Linked DNA regions of Arabidopsis thaliana. The protein of the gene in region 1 purifies or fractionates together with the protein of each later gene. This does not show direct contact. Each region holds a gene or a part of one and is shown in the gene's direction. Other genes may lie near its edges.

Region 1 (8,962 bases):
TTGGGGCACCAGATCATCAAATGACTCACCATTTGAGACCAGATACTTGGAAATCCAATGACTGAAAATTGTTAACTTTTTCAGTCAGTAGCTTCGACATTCCATCAACCAACATGAAGTGAGCGTTTTTTCGTTCCTTTAGCTGCTCTTTTATGGCGTCTATATTACATTACATATGAGTAAACATAAATAGACATAAATGAATTTAAACTTATATGTACGCATGAAGAAAGAAGTAAAACGAACCTTCAAATGACGTTAGACCCATTTTGAGCATGATGGTCGTCGTATAATACACCGTAGTAGATTTTTTTAGTTGTATTGGAGTGAGAAGAAAGTAGTAAGCATATGTCTGTATATATAGACAGGTTCCTTGACAAAGGGGTTTCAATTAGGGTATAAATTGAACCGGTTATATATATCTTAGTTGCTCTTAGAAAGAAAAAAAGAAAAAACAAGTTTAATTTAATGTAGAGCCGGTTTTTCGGCTAATTTATTCACCCCTACACATGTTTGGTCTTGACAGGAATCCGTATGGTCCAAATTGATAACCTTGAGGATATATTCATTTGCACATCATTCAACATAAAAATTACTTTGTATTAAATACTTTTTTGGTAACCAAAAAGTTTTAAATGTAAGAATATCCAAACTCTTTTCGGGTTAACAACTACAACAAGTTAAAATAGTTCGTTTCCTATGTTAAGTTCAAATTCATGTTTTGTATTTAATCTTATCTACGGTTGTAACCGTTTATTTAATCTATCTCATTTATGTATCATTCCGGGACTTTTCGGCATCGAGTACCCGGTTTCTTTCGGTTGTAATCGCATTCGAAGATTAATATAATATTGTTGACAAAAAAAGGGTTTCAAATTCATGACTTCGAAGCTATATTAGATGCTGAATTTTGGTTAAACATAATAAAGCAATTTATCTTTCCTTGGGTAAATGAATAGACCGATAAATATGTGACCCTATTAGAAGGACCTAGTGCATGGGGCGTTACTTTGGGAATATCATTTGTAAATTGTACATATTGTATAATATCATTAGTTGATACAGCTGATACATCTCCCACTACGTTGCATGCATACAAAATTATAATATCATTTGTTGCATGTCCCAGATCTGAGCACAAAACTTTACGTAACTAGTGTTGCTAATATAATGCTACCACATGAACTGGCTGGCCGGTCTAACAAAATCCAAGCTAGAGAAGATAACTAAATTCCACATAGAAATAGAAATATTCGATCATATCTAGTACGAATCCTCCGGTCCCGTCAAACACACTAGCTTTTATTTTGTTTCTACCAAGCACATTCGTTTTGACATGTACGACCAATTAAGCACCTACATGTATTCCCACGTTATCTAGAATCTAACAACAGTGGGGTGACAATTATAAAGGCGAGATATGTACGCCTAGCCAGAGACGAGCAACACAATGCAATGTGCCTAGATATATTTCTTCTTTTATCAATAACTTTTTTTTCTTACATCCATTTTTTATTTAACATCTATTTAACTTAAAACATTTCTCTCTCTCTTTTGTTTACTTTATATTTAGAAATTTTACTTTTATGAAACATTCTTCATGGCTTTTTTGTTTTTTTTTTCTTCATTATTTGTTTTGTTTACAATATCTCTACAAATTTTGAACCAAGATATGGTATAATGTACTTATTTAACAGTACTATGTTAATTTTTGTTTTAATTTGAAGTAAAACTTATAACGAATTTTTATTTGAATATCAAAAAACGACCATATTTTAATATTTTCTTTAGTTGTTTTGGCCTCTAAAATATTAGAAACGGCTTTGATTAGAGATATCTTTATTTTTACAAAAATAATAATAATAAGTATGGTTCACCAAACAATGCGCAAACCCGACAAAACATTCAACGGTTACAAATGACTAAACCAATCAGAAAATTCTTTATTTAGCAACAAATCTTCACTATATAATAGCGCAAATGTTTATTGGGAATAAGAAGTAAAAAGTAAAAAAGTTTATCAATAAGGAAAAATGGGTATATCCAAGAAAACAGTTGTACAATCATTTGCTCTTATAATTATTATATCTATCGTCATGAGCACAACGGAGGCAAACAGTATAGGCGCTCCAGCTATGCGAGAAGATTTACCCAAAGGTTGTGCTCCTGGATCTTCAGCTGGTTGCAAGATGCAACCGGCTAATCCGTATAAACCAGGTTGCGAAGCTAGCCAAAGATGTCGTGGGGGTTGATACTATGAGATATAATTTTTCTTGAAAAAAGAAGAAAAGATAAAATTACATAAATAAAACTTAATTTTTCAACTAAATTAGTAAAACTATAAAATACAAAATTTTTGTAACTAATTCTATGAGAATAATGTTTTTTTAAGTAGCAGCAAGCTGAGACTGGTACGTGTATGGTAAGCTAGTATTGTCTAACTTAGCAAAAGATAATTGTATATTACCAGTCATTTGTTATATTTTTGGATATTTATGTAGAAAATTCATGTGTATTGTTATATAAGAAAATAATTAATATATTTTGTTGTTTTTTTTAAATAAATAATGTACTTATAATAGAGGTAAAATGTGTAACGCTAGGATAAGTACATTCTTGTCGGATCCAAGAAAGTTAGTAAACCATATATTTAAGGCAACAGGTTCTTCTTCGGATCATAATCTCTCTCATTAAGGGGAAAAAAGAAAAAGCAAATAGATTAAGAGAAAAACAGAAGAATCGGAAAAAACTTGAGAAAAGAAAATGGAAACGAAAAAAAAGTAATAAATAAATAGCCCTATATATAAAGAATGCATCATGCATGCATGATCAAGCATATATCCTCATCTTGTTGATCACTTTGTAAACATCATCCACATCATCGTCGTCGTCTTCTTTCACCGCCTCCACACACCGCTCATTATCGTCCCCGAGGCTGCCATCGCCGCCGCCGCATCCTCCTCTACTGACGTCAGCAGCAGCACCAGACTCGACTCTCATGAAGAAATTGCATAGGAGAAGTGTTAAGAAGCAACATATAATAAATTCTCTAGATGCAGCCATGGATCAGACACTTTCTCTCTATCTCTCTTTCTCTTGTCTGAAAAACAAATGATAATATAGATTAATCCAACTTACTTTAAAAGCTTTTGTTCTTTTTATTTACTATGTTCTTTTGTTATGCTTTTCTCTTACAATTGTGCTTATATAAGAAATGGAATTTACTATTAATGGAGTAGAGTGATTTCTTTTGAGCTGGTCTTAAGGCTAAGTAACTGTTGCAGTATTTTACTTGAATATTCATAGCAAAAATAAAGAAAATCATTTAAATAAGTGGTACGTTAGTGACAAGGAACAAAAAAATGACATGTTTTCGATGTCAAAAAACATACATTATTACAAGTTCCCGATGAAGACTTGGGCCTTGAGCCTAACATTTTATTTGATAGGCCCAATAGTAAAAGTAAAATAAAAACGTCCGTGTTCAATAAGGTCCATCGTCACCGCCAAATCTATCACCGCCAATTACTCTCTAATCGGAAAAGAGCCCCGACGACAACGACCACCGTCCCTCCGTCATGCCGGAGATAGACGCGTTGTTTGAATCGATCAATGTTCGGGACCTTCTCGCCGGACACGATCTAAACGATCCCACAACTCCGTTATCTGCACCGGATCTCCGTCTCCTCATAAACCGCTTAGAGTCTCATTCTCTGCGGATCAAGTCCAAAGTTCAGTCTTATCTCGTCGCTCATCACTCTGATTTCTCGGAGCTATTTTCTCTTTGTCAAGACACCGTCTCGAGGACTCGTCTGATCTCCGATGACGTCTCCGATGTCCTACAATTGGTTTCTGACCGTCCGATTGATGTTGAGATACGCAGTGTGGTAGATGAGATAACGGAAAAGACTAAGGAAGTGAAATTGAAAAGAGAATCTCTTGATTTAGTGAATGCGATCGTGGGAATTTGTGAGGCATTGCAGGAAACGAAGGAAGCTTTGAAAAATGGACGTTTCAGATTCGCCGCTGAGAGAATCAGAGAACTTAAAGTTGTATTGAGAATTGGTGAAGAGGAAGATGGAGAACCTGTGGCTTACGCTTTACTTAGGAAGGAATGGTCTAATTGCTTTGACGAGGTGCAACCTTAGTTAAACTCAGTGCCAATGGCTAGCTTAGTGTCTTTAATCTTCGAATTTGCATCCACATTTCAAAGAATCGTGTATGTGTTTTGCAGATTCAAGAGGTGCTTGCAAAGTTCATGGAGAATGCAGTGCGTTTTGAGCTAGACTCGAGTAGAATCCGGATTAAGTATCAGCTAAGCGTTGGTGAGACTGCTGGAATCGCTCTTAGTACTGTTCTAGAGGCAATGGAGGTATGGATATATGATTTGACTTCTGTATCAATTTTTATTTTTATTTCTGTGTTAAGTCATTTGTTAGATTACACTTTTTGGCATTTGACTGTTCTGGATTTATCTAGGTGATTGGAATATTAGACTATGGGCTTGCGAAAGCAGCTGACTCAATCTTTAAGCATGTCATCACTCCAGCTGTAACTCATGCATCTACCTTTGCCGCTGTGGAAGATTTATGTAAATCCGCAGGGGAAGTCACCGAAGCGACACTAAGGCTAGAGCAATCCTCAGATCATAAGGTCTAGAGAAGCCTCTGTCCATCTCATGAATATCTTCTTTGTCTCTAGCCTATATAGATTATGTGCTTTTTATATTTCCTGCATTTGGTCTATGTCTTCTGAACCTTTAAATACTTACCCACTTAATAATGCAGTTTGAAGATGTGGATGGAGATGCAATGTATTCTGGAATTCTTAAGGTTGTTAAGTTCATTTGCAGTTCCTTGTGCTTTGGAAACGTTACATGGATCCATTCTTTTGGGAGGTTGACATGGCCGAGGATATCAGAGTTAATTATATCTAAATTTCTTTCAAAGGTTTGCTTTTAGAACTCGTGAAGTTGTGAAATTTTGTAGAAATTTCTTTGGTGTGAGAGCACTCTTCTCCTTTGTACTTTAACTGTTGTAGTCTGTTTAAAGGTTATTGTTTTCTTTGGAGTCAGGTTGTCCCAGAAGATGCTTCAAAACTTGCTGACTTTCAGAAAATTATCGAGCGGACCTCTCAATTCGAAGCCGCTCTAAAGGAACTGAATTTTGTTTCATCATCTGACGCAGAGAGTAGGCTCAGCAAATATGCTGAAGATGTGGAGGTTCATTTTGCATCTAGAAAGAAGATAGAAATCCTAGCAAAAGCAAGAAATTTGCTGTTGCAGTGTAACTTTACGATTCCCCAGGTGGGCTTTTGATTTTCATCATCATCATGTCATATTTACCGCATTAACCTTTTCATGTGAAAGATCAGGATTGTGAACTCCGTTTTCCAGGATATTGCTATGAGGAATGCCAAGCACATCGTCTGCTTACTTTTCTCCTCTGAAAGGTGTGTGGTATCTGAAGCTGCATCTCAACTTATGAATTTGGTGCATAAGACGCTCGAGGTGGCTCTTTTCAGACTTTTGCAATTCAATATAAGCTTTTTCCAGACACGGTTGGGATAATAAACTCATTTTTATACAGGATGTCTGTGTTTCTTCTGCAAGGGTTGCTTCAGAGTTCTACAACGCTGCTAGAGATTCTATCCTTCTATATGAAGCTGTTGTTCCTGTCAAGGTCAGTAAAAAAATAGTTTTCAATGAAGATTTAACAACTGAATCAATATAGTGACTGTCGTCACATGGAAATTTCTCACCAATATGCACAAATTCTTATTCTTCTTTTTCCTTACTCCGTTGAAATGTGAAGCTAGAGAAACAACTCGATGGCCTCAATGAAGCTGCTGTTCTTCTGCACAACGATTGTCTATATTTGTTCGAAGAGATACTTGGCCTTGCTTTTGAGGTATGAACAATGTGTCTTAAGCAAGATAAACCGCTATTTTTAATTTCTTTTTTTCGGTTAAGTAATTGTCTTCTTAAGCATCCTTTTCATTGACAGGTGAAAGTTATAATTATCCCCTTCTGCTGACTTTATCATCATTTTTTGTTCACAGTATCGTGCTAGCTTCCCTAGCTCCATCAAGGAGTATGCAGTCTTTGCTGACATAGCCCCAAGATTTAAACTGATGGCCGAAGAAGTTTTGCAAAAACAAGTTCATCTAGTAATTTCAAGTCTGCGAGAGGTGAATCTGTGTGGAAAAAACTGTGCTTAAATCTTACAAAGTAATATTATGTACTCAGTATTGATTCCTCGTCTAACATTTTGCATCTACGATCAGGCTATAGATAGTGCAGATGGATTTCAGAATACTCATCAAATTAAACAGTTTAAATCTGCAGAATTTAGCATTGATCAGGTAAACACACAGACTTGAAATTGTTTGCTTTTCTCTTACCTTCTTTCCAATAAAGTGTCAGTTATATGAGGAAAATGCAATTGTTTTATAGGTTGTCTTTAGTCTAAAGAATGTGCATATGATATGGGAGCCAGTCTTACGGCCCAAAACTTACAAGCAAAGCATGTGCGCAGTTTTGGAGTCTGTATTTCGCAGAATAGCTAGAGATATTCTTCTTCTAGACGACATGGCTGCTGACGAAACTTTCGAGGTAGCTGTTTCTCCTTGCTAGTCGCTTCTGCAATGTTATATTTTAACTGCGTAATGAAAATGTTTGCTTATATATTCTCAGCTACAAAAACTGATTTATCTCATGTTGAAGAATCTATCTTCTGTACTCGATTCCGTGAGATCTGCAGATGAGACTTCTCGTCCTCTTGATGATATCATACCATCTTTGCGCAAAACCCGTAAACTAGCAGGCATGTCTTTTCTTTCTTTTTTCTTTTAAATATCCCTCAGTTTATTGCTAACTTGACATTGGCGCAGCGAAGTTTTCTTACCATGGCTTTTCTTATTGTTTATCATTTTCCAGAACTATTGGATATGCCTCTCATGTCTATAACTTCAGCTTGGGAAAGCGGGGAGTTATTTAGATGCAATTTCACAAGAACAGAGGTACAATCTTTTTAAATCGTTTGACCTCGTGTCCTACTACCTGATATATGGATTAAGGCTATTTCTTATGGTGATTATTGGATCTTTGATTATTGGTTATGGTGATTCTGAAAGCTTTTGGAATGTACTTGGTTACAGGTACAAGATTTCATCAAAGCTATATTTACAGATTCGCCGCTGAGAAAAGAATGCTTATGGAGGATAGACGAGGTTAACCAGTAGATTGGAAATGATAAAACTTAAAAAAAAAACTCAAGACTTGTGAGAAGAAGCAAGTGAAAGCCTATTTTGGCAAAAGAGCCATGAGGTATTTTAATGTCAGCAGCTTGTAACATCGACGACGCACTCTTGTGTAAGAATATATATGTAAAGAGAGTTTTAGCTGATGAGTTTAAAACTTTAGGTTTAAAAGCGTGTTCCAGATTTTGTTGTACATTTGGGCTTTAGATTCAACAAGTAAAACGCTCTGGGTAACAACAATTTTCCGGTACAAATTCTCCAAATATTGCATTTTCCAGTTAGCTAAAAACTTGAAAACCCTTAACTAAGAAACTAATATAAAAAAAATAAAAATAAAAAAGAAGAAACTGATAGGATATTGAAAACCGTAACACATGAAAACACTAAATATTTCTATGAAATTATTGATACAATGATTTTCAATGAAATTAAACTTTTGATATACTTATTCAAATATAATGTATGATGTGTTTAGATGCTAATATTATATTAAAAACTATTTCATAAACTAATATTAAGTTATGAACACTAGGAAAATATTTTGGTCTCATAAACCAACAAAATTACATTAAGAAATAGAGTTAAGAGACATTGGTATTTTTCCTTTTTTTTTTTTGTCGACATTGGTATTTTTCCTTATGTTGGCCACATGTTTAAAATGTTAACAAAATCACATAACGGTCATAATTAAGGGCCCGAAAAGGAAAAATTTCATTAGAAGATCTTATTAGATTTAGTGATCTATCAAGAACTTGAGATGACGTCATATATTTCTATTTAATAACACCACACATCTATCTATCTCTACCTTCTCTCTTACTTTCAAGTTTCCATTCTCACGCTCATTGTCTTTCCTCTAGCTCTCTTTCTTTCTTTCTTCTTCCCCATCTTTAGGTTTCTTGCGTACAACGTTACAAATTCTTTTTACAATTTCCCATGTCTTCCAGAGAATCGAAGAGAATGGATGAATCTGATGATCCTAGGGTTTCAGAGTCGAGTGAATTCTCAAACTTCGAGATGTTGATACAAGTCGCTGTCATGGTTTACGATCATGAGTACGGTACTCATGACGAACACAAGTCAAAGACCATTGACGAAGATACAGAGACAGAAGCAAGAATCTTTGGAGATACAATACCTAGAAAGAACAGAACTCACCGATCATCTTCTTCTTCTAACAAGACGATAACACCATGGACGCGTGTGATCGAACAACAGAGATCATCTGAACTACAAAACCCTAACCCGGAATCTGAACCTTCTTCTTCCTCTTGCGTTACCCACTTCAAGAAACGTCGCCACATGGACAAAGAAGAGAGTACTCGCAAGAGACTCAAAATCGATAGTCCTTTAGAGGTGGAACCAATTCAAACATCACCACCGGAATGGCTTTTGAAAGTAATGAAGAGAGAAGAGAACAGCTACAATCCAAAATTGATCTCAACGAGAAAACTCTATAAGACTGATCTCGCTAGTCTTCAAGCACGTCTCTCAGTACCTTTTAAACAAGTGAAAAGTCCAGACTTTTTAACAGAGGAAGAAACAAGAATCATAAAGGAACAAGCTTTCTTCCTCTAAACTCTTTGGTCAATTCCTTCTTCTTTCTATTCGATTGTGATAAGATCTTTCTAGAGATCTAATCAGAACCTTGTGCCGCGGATTTGGAGAAACATCATCATCATCGTCATAGAAATCCTGCTCT
Region 2 (6,414 bases), on another chromosome or scaffold:
CCATGTGGTATCATAATCAGTTTCTTGTAAAACTACTTTATAGGTTGAAGGTTTGGCGAAACATCTACGTTGTGTGGGGATTGATGCTGCAATCCCACACTCAAAGAAGCCGGATTCAAGGTACTTTATCCTAAAGCTGCTATTAAAGTTTTTCTGTGACATGGGGTTTTGATCACAATATCTGTATAGGATTGATTTTCTAATTGTGATGTTGACACAAATGCCAGGGAGTTGCTTGATCAAGCATTCAAAGAGAACAGAGTTCTATTAACAAGAGATACAAAATTGTTGAGACACCAGGATTTGGCAAAGCATCAAATATATCGAGTAAAGAGTCTTCTTAAAAATGAGCAGCTACTTGAGGTACAAACAAAGTTAATTTTCAACGTATAAGCTGTTATGCAAGATCTGTGATGTGGCATGATTTGGTTTACTAGATTTATTAATCAAAAAGGACACATACCCTGGAAATTTTGCTTTAAAGAATAGGATCTCTCAAGACACTAGTTAACAAATTTATTTTTAACCTTACTTTCTGGGTGGAACATTTTCTACACTACCTGTAATTATGGCATGCTTGGATTCACCGAGCCAAAATAACCTCGTCCACTCACTGTGCAACCACTTTTCTTACATTCAGTAGAATGATTACGGATTTTTTGTGAATTACTGAAACAAATAAGCTTCGCAGGTGATAGAGACTTTCCAGCTAAAGATCAGCGGAAATCAGCTGATGTCCAGATGTACGAAGTGCAATGGGAAATTTATTCAGAAACCTCTAAGCATTGAAGAAGCTATTGAAGCAGCAAAGGGTTTCCAAAGAATACCCAACTGCTTATTTAACAAAAATTTAGAGTTTTGGCAGTGCATGAACTGCCATCAACTATACTGGGAGGTAAGTCACCTACCCCATCTTTTGCCGTTGTGCATTATAGTTCTTGAACGAGTATACCTTGTGTCAAAAAATCATCTGGTCCATCTATGTTAGTTGTTTTGCTGATTGAACAGTCAAATTTTAGTTGCCTAACGATATTTATCAAATCAGTGATCCAATTAATATTTGTATGAAGTCTTAGTTGGTGAATTGAATCTTGATTTCTTTAAAACATCTTCATGTGTTCATGTCTTAGAGCAGAAATCATCTCCACAAGATTCATAACTTCCTATATAGCTCTGATCTGTTCTGTCTCTAATAGTCAGTGTCCGACATATTTAATGTTTGTTATGTGGTTTCAGGGAACTCAGTATCATAACGCAGTCCAGAAGTTCATGGAAGTATGCAAGTTGAGTGAGTGATTCACTTTTTTTTTTTTTTTTTGGGTTTTTACAATTTTGGTGAAGTGTTCAATCTCTCGTTACCTCAGTTCCTCAAATGTTTTTATTTTATATCAAACGTCTCTAAGCAAACAAGATGTGTTTGTAACTTGTGTCGTTTGCACACATGTGTTCCAGAGGTTATTAACCGTGTACAAATGTTTTAGTTTGTTTTACAAAGTTGAACACATTACTATCTTATGAGAAGAATAGACTTGTAGTATTTTCTATTTACCAGTTAAATTCTTGCATAATTTTCAAAGTGGAATATTATTTTCAATATGCTTTCTTGAGATGATGGCTTTTCTAGCCGTAGATTCATGCATTTTAAATATGATGATATACCAAATTTAGGTATTGTGGATTGGATTGGTCTAGTTCATTAGTTAGGCAAAAAATTTAACCTCATCAAATCAACATTACCTCTCTTCCTAATTTTCTCCATTGAATTCTTGTTCAACCATTTTTTTTCTTTCACTAGCAAATACGGTGATGAACTCGAAAATGATATCTTTGCGACAGATGAATTAACCGGTATAATTGGAAAGCGTTTCTTGAGCATCAGTGTTCCTACTTGAGGAAGAGTTGTCTTGTAGACCTAAACAAGAGATCAATTGCCCCAACACGAAACTATGTAGATCAAATAAGTATTTAGTTCACTCTTCTTTGCTCACTTCAAATATGTTTTAGACTTATTAGAAAATCCGGTGAGTCAGATATTCGACGGGCACATTCACATCGGAATTAATAGTTTCATAGGGTGTTGTCTCTTAAATTTGGACCGACCGGTTGGATTGCCTATCTGCCGTATAAAGAAAATAAGACAAGAGAACATTAATTTCATGGTTGAACCGGACGGTTCTTGGCTAAATTGAACCGAACCGATTGATTTCAGAAGGTATGTATAACTTTTTTTACGGAGTCGTCATCACTTTCTCTGCTCGTCGGCGAAGTTCACATTCACCGGTCGTATAGTGTCTTCGTCTCCTTCCTCGTGAAATTTGTTCATCACAGTCTCTACAGTCACCACCATAGGAGGTCGTACCGCCGGATCTTCGCCACACCATTAATTTCTGCGTTCTCTCTTCTCAATTCGCCGCCGATCTCTCTGAGCGTAATTACCAAATCGTGCTTAGGTATGTCATCAAATCTTGTCTCACACCTTCCAATTCATCTCCATGCACTAATTCATTAAGTAATTAGTCAAGGGTTTAATTCAAACTTTATGGTTAAATCGACGAGAGTGCTGATGTTTTGGGGTTAGGGTGTGAAGAAAATTATATTGATTCTCTCTCTCTCTCTCTCCTGCTAATTAGATCTCCTTCTCCTAGAAACTGCTGTGAGGATCGATCTCGATTGATCATGGAAAGTCCTGGAAGAAAAGTTTTGTATGAGATACGTCATCATGCTTCATTGCCTTATGTTCCTAGATATCCTCCTCTTCCTCAGGTACAAGATTCATCATTGCTTATACAATTTAGTGTTTTACTTATATCTTACGCTTTGATCCGCTGTCCAAGTTTAGGCAGATGGAACTAATTCGAAAGGAGGACTTCGGTCACTTGTTTCCATCAAAGGTCAGTCGCAGATGGTTAACTCAGAGATCTGTGATTTTTGAATCTTTGGTTTTATGAGCTTGTAGGAATCATGTTTGTGTACATCTCTTTTCATTAAATTAGCAGTATAGCTCATTGGTTCTTCATCTCTGTGCTCTTATGGTATTAAGGTGTTAGTCAACTCAAGGAAAAGTGGAGTGAATACTGGAATCCGAAAAAAACTAATAAGCCGGTGTCGTTATTTATTTCACCAAGAGGAGAACTTGTGGCTGTCACTTCTGGAAATCACGTTACTATCTTGCGAAAGGATGATGATTACAGGAAACCTTGTGGCAATTTTACATGTAAGAAATTCTGGCATATCTTCCCTTGCTTTCACAAATGTTTGCCTGATTATGTTTTTCGGGGTCATTGCCATAGCACACTCAATAAACGAATTTGTAGAATATTGCATTTATCTTGTCAAAAACTATCTACTTGATTTACTCTGATAACAAACGCCTATAAAACTTGCATTTGCTTCTTTTTCTCTCTAAGTTTAGTATGTGGAATCACCGTTTTGTGAAACCTTAGACTGTACCAGTCATTTATTCTGTTCATTAAAAAAATATGCTCTCCTCACAATACCGTTTTCCTTCTTTCTGTTTCTTAACTTATGGTCCTTTGATGTCTATGCTATGGTCCTCTAACTTCTGTATTCTGCATCAGCCAGCATATCAGGTTCATTTACTTCTGGAGTATGGTCCGAAAAACATGATGTTCTTGGTCTTGTGGATGATAGTGAGACCCTCTTTTTCATCAGAGCTAATGGCGAAGAAATAAGTCAGGTCACAAAAAGAAACTTGAAGGTTTCTGCACCAGTATTAGGATTAATGGAGGACGACTCTGATTTGCAACCATCATGCTTGTACGTTTCCTTCTGTTCATATTTCTTATTGATTAAGACTTACAGAGTACTTTGTTCAAAAAAAAAAACAGACTAAAGGAGTACTCTGGGATCCTAATGTGTCCTTGACCATTACAGTATACTTGTTTGCTTAAGGTCTACGGCTGATATGAAATTTTGACTGGTGGTCTGTGCTAATGATAATTTGCCTGCAGGTGTTCGTTCAGTATACTTACGTCAGATGGACGTATTCATCATGTCGAGATCAGTAGGGAGCCAAGTGCTTCTGCCTTTTCCAAGCATGCTTCAAATAGTGTCTCAAAGCAATTCCCCAACCACGTTTTCTGCTTTGATTACCATCCAGATCTTTCTTTTCTTCTCATTGTTGGTAGTGTTGCAGGCATATCATCGTCAGGGAGTTCTGGTAAGTTTTATACAACTTATTTTAGTTGAGGAAAGTTTGGAATTAGGAGTAATTAAAAAGCTACACTTGCTTGAAATCATTCAATTTGGCAAACCATAGCTGCGTACTATTATATGAGAATGCTACCTATACTTTATCAGTGTTTGTGATAGTTGAATGAAAAATGTGGTTGTTGAAATATTTCCGATGAACAGAGATGTTAGGTTCATGATTCTGCGATAATTAATGTTTTAATTTACTTACTTTCAGGTTCATCGTGTATCTCGCTTTGGCGTAAGTGTCAGAATTTAGGTCTGGAATTGTTGTCCACCACAAAGTTTGATGGCGTGTATTGTGAGAACAAAGATGATCAGTTGGCATATCCAAAGACTTTAATCTCCCCTCAAGGGTCACATGTTGCAAGTCTTGATAGCAATGGGTGCGTGCATATTTTCCAGTTAGATAAAGCAAGATTGACACTTTCGTGCTGTCCTTCTGAAGACAGTTCTGATTCACTGAAGCCAGATAAGTCGCTACAAAGTTGGAAAGAAAGTTTAAGAAATGTCGTAGATTTTACTTGGTGGTCTGATCACGCCCTTGCAATTTTGAAAAGGAGCGGTAACATTAGTATATTTGACATCAGTAGGTGTGTTATAGTTCAAGAGGATGCTACCATTTATTCTATGCCTGTCGTGGAAAGAGTTCAGAAATATGAAGGACACATTTTTCTTTTAGAAAGTTCAACACAGGAAGCAAAATCAGCTCTGGCCAATGTTGACAGGGACGCAAGTGAATTTCATCATACTAGTGAGCATAGTATGTTATGGAGGCTAATATCATTTACTGAGAAAACAATTCCTGAAATGTATAAAATCTTAGTTGAGAAATGCCAATATCAAGAAGCGTTAGATTTCTCTGATAGTCATGGCTTGGACAGAGATGAAGTTTTCAAGTCAAGATGGTTGAAGTCAGAAAAAGGAGTCAGTGATGTGAGCACGATTCTATCAAAGATAAAAGATAAAGCTTTTGTGCTCTCCGAATGCTTAGATAGAATTGGGCCAACAGAAGATTCCATGAAGGCCTTACTTGCGCATGGACTTTATCTAACCAATCACTATGTATTTGCTAAATCTGAAGATCAAGAATCCCAACAACTTTGGGAATTTCGTTTGGCTAGGCTTCGTCTATTACAGTTTAGTGAAAGGCTTGACACCTATTTGGGGATAAGCATGGGCAGGTATATATCTTTACTCTTGCTATCTTCTCTTCCTTTCTGCAGATAGGAAACCTGGTATGCCATATAGTACTAGTCTTGCATATCCAGGAGATTCTATGGTTATCTAACACAGGATGAGTGTCATTTAGAATTTGGTTAGAATTTGTCGATTCTAGAGTTTAAAGTGGTTTTGTGGGTTTGATTGCAACTTGAAAACTTAGAAGTTAGAACCCTCTTTTGCCACCCTTAGATACCCACTCAGGCAAGTTTCATCTGATATCACCAAGCTCTTTGCATATGGGTTCTGCATTTCAGAATTTTCGGTTCCTTTTTATCTGCTGTTAAACTTCACTATCCAGTTACTTCTTAAAATGGTTAATGACATTGTCTCCACAGATATTCTGTGCAGGATTACAGAAAATTTCGGAGTAATCCTATCAATCAGGCTGCTATTTCACTTGCTGAGAGCGGGAGAATAGGAGCCTTAAACCTGCTATTTAAGCGGCATCCTTATTCACTTGTTTCGTTTATGCTGCAAATTTTGGCAGCTATTCCTGAAACAGTCCCTGTTGAAACGTATGCACATCTTCTTCCGGGAAAATCTCCTCCAACCAGTATGGCAGTGAGAGAAGAAGATTGGGTTGAATGTGAGAAGATGGTTAAGTTTATTAATAACTTGCCGGAGAATGGCAAGAATGATTCTCTGATTCAAACTGAGCCAATTGTTAGAAGGTGTTTGGGGTATAATTGGCCATCATCAGAAGAACTTGCTGCATGGTACAAAAGTAGAGCTAGAGATATTGATTCGACCACTGGGCTGTTAGACAACTGCATTTGCTTGATTGATATTGCATGTCGAAAAGGCATATCTGAGTTGGAACAGTTCCATGAGGATCTATCATACTTGCACCAGATAATTTATTCTGACGAAATTGGAGGCGAAATCTGCTTCAGCTTAAGCCTTGCTGGGTGGGAGCATTTATCTGATTATGAGAAATTTAAAATAATGCTTGAAGGGGTTAAAGCTGATACTGTGGTT
Region 3 (7,623 bases), 3.8 Mb from region 1:
GTTGATGGAATCTCTATCTCATAAACTCATATCAATATAATAACTTGGGTCTTTTCATCACATAGTTGAACTGCTTATTGTTGATTTATCATGACCTTAGAGAAAAATACAGAAATACAATTTAGAATTCAGGTACAGGTTCTTCTTCAACGGGAGCAAGAACCCATTCACCATCTTCGTTCTTGATCAGTCCTTTGTTCTTCTCTACCCACCAAGATCCTGGCACCAAACACTCAGCTTTCAAGAACTCGCATGACTTGTTCACTAATGCAATACTTCTCTTAACCATCAGTTTAAACTCTCCTTTCTTCCCATTCCATCCAGCTACAACATGTAACATCGCCTGCACACATACATGGAAAAAATATGTAAAAGTTTCTACTCTGTATCGTTTGAGTCAAATTTGAAAGATTCTTCTCACAGATTCTTACCTGAAGATTATGCCAATCCCCTGGATTCCTTGAATCGCTTAGGAACGGTGACTTCTTTGTATCGATCACAAAGTTTATTCCTATGTCCACATACCCTAAAAGTCCCCCTGGGTATCGAGTTAAGAGATCAATCGTGTTCCTTACATGGAGGATCTTTAAGTTCTTGTGACTCATTACTTCGTCTCTGAACTCCTTGTTTCCTACCTGTGGACAACCAAAGACTATAGCAGTGACCGGAACATCATCACTGGAACCGTTCTCAGCTATATCATAGGCGGCCAGAACAGCCTCTGTAGCTCCCAAGCTATGTCCAGTCAACACAATGCTCGGTTTCTCGTCCTTATACTTCAACAGAAGCTCCTTGATCTTGGCTAACAACTGTGACCGTAGACTCAGCTTAGTGAATTTCGATTCGGGGTGATTAGAAGTATAGATTGTGAGCCACCCGAGCATCACCTTACACCCTTCTTCATCTTCACTGTCACTATCAAAAGTCGTACCTTCAACTACACCACCAGAACCATCCTGCTCGGGTCCGTGCAGCAAGGGGTCAGCTGAAGTTGGCCTAGCACCCAAAACATTGACCCACTCATAGTTCCTGCTCGTTCCTCTCAAAGCTATATAGATCTCACGGCGTCCTAAAGCCTTAGACCGTTCATCAGACGTGACAGCAATGTAGCCAAACCAGTTAGACTCACGGTCCCAAGAATCTCTTGATTGTGATTGGAGAAGCAAACCTTCGGGGAGAGAAACACGAGCTGTGGCGTAGAGGAAGTTTACAACCTCGTAGTCGGAAGCGTTTTCGAGCATGACCTTGTCGAAGAAAGAAGATTTGCCGTAGCGGCTGGCTCCACAGTACTTGGAGTTTTGGTCGTTGACGAAGGCATCGTAGGTGGCTTGACAAAAGTCGCCACAACGTAAGATGAGTTCCCTAAGTGATTGGTCTAATGGGTCTAAGATAGTGTCCCAATTCTTTGAGCCTAAGAGTTCTTCCCATGATGTGGTTGTTGTAGCCATTAGAGAGAAATGGTGTGTGTAAGGAGATAATAAGTGACTCTTGACTCTTAAGTTGTTTAACTTTATACAAATGGTTGTGGACTGGTGATGATGCTGTCTGACCCACTTATGTCCAAAGCGATAAAAGGTTATCACTGGTGTGGGAATATTATTGGCATATAGAATTATCCACAAACTTGCACATCATTCTCAACCATACAAAAAAGAGTAAAAATAAACCCAATCAAATAGAGAGAAGAAAATTCAACCAAATCAATCGATACACACGAAAAGAGACTTATTGTTTGTTTGCAACTAATCAAACGCGACGACAGGCTTGTCTTCGTCGTCCGGAATGGCCATGACCCAATCACCAGCCTCGGTCTTGAGCATGCCTTTGTTTTTCGCGACCCCACCAACACCCATCCTTCAATAGTGCAAATGATTTGTTAACCAATGTTATGTTTCAGTTAATCACTTTCATCTCCAATATATCCCCCTTTGATAACATTGCATCCTAGACCCGTTAACTAATATATGATGGGCCATAATAAATCAAAGATAATTCAAAGCCCAAAAAGTGTAAAAAAGCCCAACAAAGTGACGATCATACGACGAACGATATCAAGTTAAGCTATCATGTTCGTCGTCGGTGAGATTTCCCGGCGAAGCGAAAGCAGTGTTTCTCCGGTGGTTCAGGCATCAGTCTGATTTCAGACAACACATCTCATAGTAATTTGATTCTAACTGGCGATTTCACTCTAGCTCGACCAATTGTATCCAATTCTCGTAGCTGAGAGCAATGGCTCTGATCGATGTCGCGATATCTTGTCTCAATTCGATCCGCGAAGTAAGAAATCCGAATTCTCTTTTTTTTTTTTTTTTTTTTTTTTTTCATCTGGTCTCATCTTGTTACACGTTTTGATCTGCTGCACCTGAATCATTACGATTTCTCCATGATCTCGTTTTGCTCGTTTTTGTGTGTTCTTGGGAAATGTAAAAGTACCTTACTGTAATCCTGAACAAGTAAGGTTTAGATATTTTGGAAATGTTTTGTTTTGTAGATAGAAGAGGATGTAAAAGATGCGATTGTGTATATCGATGCTGGCTGCACAGAAAGTTTTCAATTTGTAGGAGCTTTCCCTTTGTTCTTGGAACTAGGTGCTCGAGCTGTCTGCAGTCTTGAAAACATGACTTCCTTAGATGCGGTAAGCTTGTTACCGTTTCTTTTTTTCCTGCACAATGTTGGCTAAGGAATATCCTATCAATCAACGGTTAGTGTTGGTAATTGAGGATCTAGATAAAGAACAGGAAGATTGTTATCCTCATACTTTTGGTATGAAGGGGATCTTTTTACCTAGAAAGTGAGAAATCTTCTGATTTAATTTATATGATGTGACTTTTGATGCCTTGTGCTCTAGGTGGCTGATTGGAATTCAAAGTCTGATTGTGCCAAGAGAATTGTGATTATGACATCTCGACTTCTCAATGATGCTCATCGGTATATGCTACGGTGTCTAAGCACCCATGAAGGTGTTCAGCGCTGCACCGTATTCACATCTATTTCAGAGGTGCTCTTCTTTAACGTTATCCTTGGTCTCATTCTTTATTTAATCTCTTTTTTTTCTCTGGATATATATATTGGCTTTTTTATTTTCTAGAACAATCACAAGCTATTTGACTTATCAACACTAGTGATCGTTATATAATCAAATTCAAAGTGATTGTAATGTATTCTCTAACTTAATTTAGCAGTTCTGCTTCTCTATGCCTTCTTCAAAATAATTTTCCATCTATAAGAGACTCTTCAGAATATTTGTTTCTTTTCTTGCGTCATTGAATATTAATCTGAACGTTGTACAGGGGTCTCACTCAGCTATCCCTGATTCACCTCTAGGTCCAGACGCGTATCGAGAGTATGAAACCTTACTTGTTCAGGATTACAATGAACATACTAAGAAAAGCGACAAAATATCTAAAGACAAAGGGGTTTCTAAGTTCTCTTCTGCACTTGAATCCCTTACTATGGAGCCTATTGAAAGCGAAAATGTAGATATTTCATCAGGTGGTGCACAAGGTTTGGTTGTCTCAGTTCACCACTTCCCCTTGATTATTTGTCCTTTCACTCCTCGAGCGTTTGTCTTACCTTCCCAAGGATCAGTCGCAGAAGCGTCCTTGTCCCGTCAACATGAGGATTCTCTTAGTTTTGGTTTGCCTCCCATAAGTACTGGATCTATGTCTGACACTGATGATGTTCCTCCTGGTGCAACTCTTACCGCACATTTTCTTTACCAGCTGGCCCTTAAGGTAAACTAACACTGCAGTAACCGCTTTGAACTTAATTCACGATGTTCATGAAGTACGTGAGCTAGAACACTAGAAGATATCTGTTTCCCTTGTTTGTCAATAATTTAATTTCTTCTGTACGTTTTTCTTAAATTTGTGACCATGTCGTCACTTTTTTAAAATTGTAGATGGAGTTGAAGTTGGAAATATTTTCACTTGGTGACCAATCGAAGAATGTTGGGAAGATTCTAACAGACATGTCAAGTGTTTATGATGTAGCGCGTCGTAAGCGATCTGCTGGCTTGTTACTTGTTGACCGCACACTTGATCTTATCACTCCCTGCTGTCACGGGGATTCACTTTTCGATCGTATCTTTTCATCTTTGCCTCGGGCAGAAAGATTTTCTTCACAAGCACAGCTTAAACAAGGGGTCCCAAGCATCAATCGTCCTTCTCTTGATGTTCAAGTGCCGCTTGGGGAACTGCTTAATGAAGAACCAAGCAAGATTCGGGATTCTGGTCTTCCTGAAGGAATTGAAGCTTTTTTACGTGGCTGGGATTCATATACCTCTGCTCCACAAAATGTAGGTTTGTTTAATGAATGTGACAAGAAATCTACCACCAACTGGACTGAACTACTAAATGGATCTCTTGTCGCTACTGAATGTTTTAGAGGAACACCTTACTTAGAGGCCATGATTGATAGGAAAACGAAGGATGGAAGTGTACTGGTGAAGAAATGGCTTCAAGAGGCTTTGCGTCGCGAAAATATCTCTGTTAACGTGAGAGCTCGTCCTGGTTATGCTACAAAACCGGAGCTCCAGGCCATGATCAAAGCATTGTCCCAAAGCCAGTCGTCTTTGTTGAAAAATAAAGGGATTATTCAGTTAGGGGCAGCTACAGCCGCTGCTCTTGATGAATCTCAAAGTGCCAAATGGGATACTTTTAGCAGTGCGGAGATGATGTTAAACGTAAGTGCTGGTGATACGAGTCAGGGTTTGGCTGCTCAAATTAGTGACCTGATCAACAAAAGCGCTGTGGCAGAACTTCAAGCGAAGAAAAACGAGAAACCAGATTCCTCATCACGAGGGCTGCTATCTTTTCGTGATGCCCTGCTTCTTACAATAGTTGGTTACATTCTTGCTGGCGAAAATTTCCCTACATCTGGCTCAGGTGGGCCTTTCTCTTGGCAAGAAGAGCATTTTCTAAAAGAAGCCATTGTCGATGCTGTTCTGGAGAATCCATCAGCAGGAAATCTCAAGTTTCTTAATGGGTTGACAGAAGAGCTTGAGGGCAGATTGAATCGTCTCAAGTCTGAGGAAACCAAAGAAATTCCCTCTGATGATCAATTAGACATTGATGCTCTTGATGATGATCCATGGGGGAAATGGGGTGACGAGGAAGAAGAAGAAGTTGACAATAGTAAAGCAGACGAGTCCTATGACGATATGCAGCTGAAACTGGATTTGCGTGATAGAGTAGACAGCTTATTTAGGTTCCTCCACAAGTTATCGAGTCTAAGAACAAGGAATCTACCATTAAGAGAAGGCTCATTGGCTTCAGAGAGCAGCTTTCCTGGCGAGCCTTCTGGAAACAAAGGGCTAGTCTACAGGCTTATAACAAAAGTGTTGAGCAAACAAGAGATACCCGGTTTAGAATACCATTCTTCAACTGTTGGAAGATTTATTAAAAGCGGATTTGGAAGGTTTGGTCTTGGTCAGGTTAGTTAGACCTTTCTCTCTACCCATGACTTTCATTTTCCTACACAAGATATACATTAATGTTTGGCAATGCTATTGCAGGCAAAACCAAGCCTGGCAGACCAGAGTGTCATTCTTGTCTTTGTCATTGGAGGTATCAACGGTATAGAGGTGAGTTTCTTCATCACAAAAGTCACCTCGCATTCACGTTGTAGGGCTATATTTTTTATAACTGTCTATGTTTCCTCCATTGTTAAGGTTTTGGAAGCTCAAGAGGCTGTGTCAGAGAGCGGAAGACCAGACATTAACTTGGTTATTGGAGGAACGACACTTCTAACCCCCGACGACATGTTTGAGTTATTGTTGGGACAATTCAGCCATTTTTGATATCTTGCAAACTGACCTCACTCTCATAATCTCTGTTGTTAGCTTGTAACATTAGAAGAAACAGAAATACCCATGAATAAATTAATGATCGAATGTTAAAATCTACAAAACAATAGTTCCATTTTCAAGAGATAAGAAAAGATTGGTTATTAATTGTGAATAAGAGATTTTTCAAAAAAAAATCTCAAATTATTTATATCTTTGGTCCCTAAAGTTTTATAACATTTACAGAAAAGCTTTTAAGTTAAAAATCAGAAATCTCCTTAAACCCCCAAAATCACATTTCACACGAAAAACCTCGAGTGAGTGAAGAAACAATGGCAGCTATGAAGCTCCTACTCTCTCAAGCTCGCCGCCAAGGTCTAATCAAACCCTTTTCGTCTCCATTTCAACAAATCCCAAGACTCTTCTCTTCATCTTCATCTTCATCTTCATCTTCATCTTCATCATCCGATTCGAATCCATCTCCCGATTCAAACGAATCTCGCAAAAAGGCTGTTACAATCGAGCCAGTATCGTACGCGGCCAAACCCAAGGATCAGAAATCTGAACCGAAAAATGTTGAATCGACGGAGAACCTTCAGTCTCCAGAATCAGCGAACTGGACTCGTGAAGAAATCCGATATGTGAAAGACTCTCCTTCGATCAATCCGGTTTCTTACGCTCAGCGTGTGGCTCCACTTCCGGAGGATCGTGTCGCCGGTGAGAATGAAGGAGATAGAACTCCAGAGGAGATGGAGAGGGAGAGGAAGAGGATTGAATTAGAGAATCGAGCTAGAAGAAGGTTTTTAAGAGCTAATGCTGTTGAAGAAGATACTTCTTCACTTCCTTTGCCAACTTTGCTTAAACCAGAGTTGAAGCATGGAAAGAAACCTATTTTCGATCTCATGGAGGCCATTAGAGAGATTAAGGTCAGGATTCTTAATATGAGCTGCCATTGTAATAGAATGGAAGCTACACTATTTAGGGTTCTTTTAATTTATTTATTTTGTGTCAAAGGATTAATTTTTTTGCTTGTTTCGTAGTTAGGGGATTTCAAATGACTATTATAAAGGAAGCTATGATGATTAGGATCATATGACTATATAATGTGAAACATAAGGAGTCTTGGAAGAATTGTTAGACGTTGTGGATTAGTTTAGATCATGCAAGTTTTGTGTAATGGTGGTACTGTGAGATTTGTGGATTCTGTAAACTGGTAATAGTTGTTGTTGCTGAGTTGATTTACAAGTTGAGTGAGTGAGGGCAATGCATCCCTTTTGTTCGTATGGTTTTCATTTCTGATGCTGTTTTTATCAATGGTTCAGGGCAATGCCAAGGCGAAATTTGATGAAACTCTTGAGGCGCATGTGAGATTGGGCATTGAAAAAGGAAGATCTGAGCTGGTATGTGATGCATTTATTTTCTCTGGAAATACATTAATTTCTCTATCCTATTCTTAATAAAAAGATCGCGTTCTTAGCATTTTGGTTGATTGCCCCTGGCTTTATCTCTAGACTGACTGCTATCACTGTTTAAATTGCAGATAGTTCGTGGTACTTTGGCTCTACCCCACTCTGTTAAGAAGGTAAAAGAAATGCATTTGTAATCCATAATCGGAATTTCTATTTTACCAGCCACTAATATAATACAAGAAATGATCTTCCTTGTTCAGGATGTGAAAGTGGCTTTCTTTGCCGAGGGAGCTGATGCAGAGGATGCAAAAGCTGCAGGAGCTGATGTCGTTGGTGGTCTTGAGCTTATTGAAGAGATCTTGAGTAATGAACCAATGCATTCTACTTCAATTCATTCTGACATCTAATTGAACATGCTTGCATTTGGCT

Evidence for each region. The genes of interacting proteins can lie anywhere in the genome.
Region 2: the proteins of ATZW10 (region 1) and AT5G24350 purify together in Arabidopsis thaliana (affinity purification with mass spectrometry, with the first as the bait; one study listed by BioGRID). This does not show direct contact.
Region 3: the proteins of ATZW10 (region 1) and AT2G42700 purify together in Arabidopsis thaliana (affinity purification with mass spectrometry, with the first as the bait; one study listed by BioGRID). This does not show direct contact.

What each region holds. Positions count from the first base shown.
Region 1 is NC_003071.7:13,950,229-13,959,190, forward strand, and holds ATZW10 (centromere/kinetochore protein, putative (ZW10)), read left to right. Parts: upstream 1-3,436; 5' UTR 3,437-3,578; coding exon 3,579-4,136; intron 4,137-4,234; coding exon 4,235-4,372; intron 4,373-4,479; coding exon 4,480-4,653; intron 4,654-4,787; coding exon 4,788-4,949; intron 4,950-5,074; coding exon 5,075-5,305; intron 5,306-5,395; coding exon 5,396-5,509; intron 5,510-5,588; coding exon 5,589-5,681; intron 5,682-5,813; coding exon 5,814-5,909; intron 5,910-6,060; coding exon 6,061-6,189; intron 6,190-6,285; coding exon 6,286-6,363; intron 6,364-6,454; coding exon 6,455-6,613; intron 6,614-6,694; coding exon 6,695-6,824; intron 6,825-6,937; coding exon 6,938-7,020; intron 7,021-7,158; coding exon 7,159-7,242; 3' UTR 7,243-7,520; downstream 7,521-8,962. Other genes in the region: AT2G32880 (TRAF-like family protein), read right to left, coding at 30-159, 247-277; AT2G32885 (Rapid alkalinization factor (RALF) family protein), read left to right, coding at 2,034-2,252; RALFL17 (RALF-like 17), read right to left, coding at 2,830-3,063; AT2G32905 (B3 domain protein, putative (DUF313)), read left to right, coding at 8,197-8,838. UniProt on the Arabidopsis thaliana protein: May be required for accurate chromosome segregation. Required for proper maturation of seed storage proteins. Forms a complex with MAG2, MIP2 and MIP3 on the endoplasmic reticulum that may be responsible for efficient transport of seed storage proteins.
Region 2 is NC_003076.8:8,298,861-8,305,274, forward strand, and holds the start of AT5G24350 (neuroblastoma-amplified sequence protein), read left to right. Parts: upstream 1-2,244; 5' UTR 2,245-2,450; intron 2,451-2,630; exon of another isoform or gene 2,631-2,645; 5' UTR 2,646-2,676; coding exon 2,677-2,763; intron 2,764-2,839; coding exon 2,840-2,891; intron 2,892-3,040; coding exon 3,041-3,214; intron 3,215-3,578; coding exon 3,579-3,777; intron 3,778-3,971; coding exon 3,972-4,180; intron 4,181-4,429; coding exon 4,430-5,396; intron 5,397-5,625; coding exon 5,626-5,698; intron 5,699-5,771; coding exon of another isoform or gene 5,772-5,784; coding exon 5,785-6,414. Other genes in the region: AT5G24340 (3'-5' exonuclease domain-containing protein), read left to right, coding at 44-120, 228-363, 692-988. UniProt on the Arabidopsis thaliana protein: Required for proper maturation of seed storage proteins. Forms a complex with MAG2, ZW10/MIP1 and MIP3 on the endoplasmic reticulum that may be responsible for efficient transport of seed storage proteins.
Region 3 is NC_003071.7:17,776,235-17,783,857, forward strand, and holds AT2G42700 (vesicle docking protein), read left to right. Parts: upstream 1-2,039; 5' UTR 2,040-2,229; coding exon 2,230-2,277; intron 2,278-2,439; exon of another isoform or gene 2,440-2,491; coding exon 2,492-2,635; intron 2,636-2,848; coding exon 2,849-2,998; intron 2,999-3,290; coding exon 3,291-3,734; intron 3,735-3,901; coding exon 3,902-5,434; intron 5,435-5,515; coding exon 5,516-5,800; 3' UTR 5,801-5,953; downstream 5,954-7,623. Other genes in the region: AT2G42690 (alpha/beta-Hydrolases superfamily protein), read right to left, coding at 122-343, 432-1,448; AT2G42710 (Ribosomal protein L1p/L10e family), read left to right, coding at 6,118-6,711, 7,108-7,185, 7,326-7,367, 7,455-7,557. UniProt on the Arabidopsis thaliana protein: Required for proper maturation of seed storage proteins. Forms a complex with MAG2, ZW10/MIP1 and MIP2 on the endoplasmic reticulum that may be responsible for efficient transport of seed storage proteins.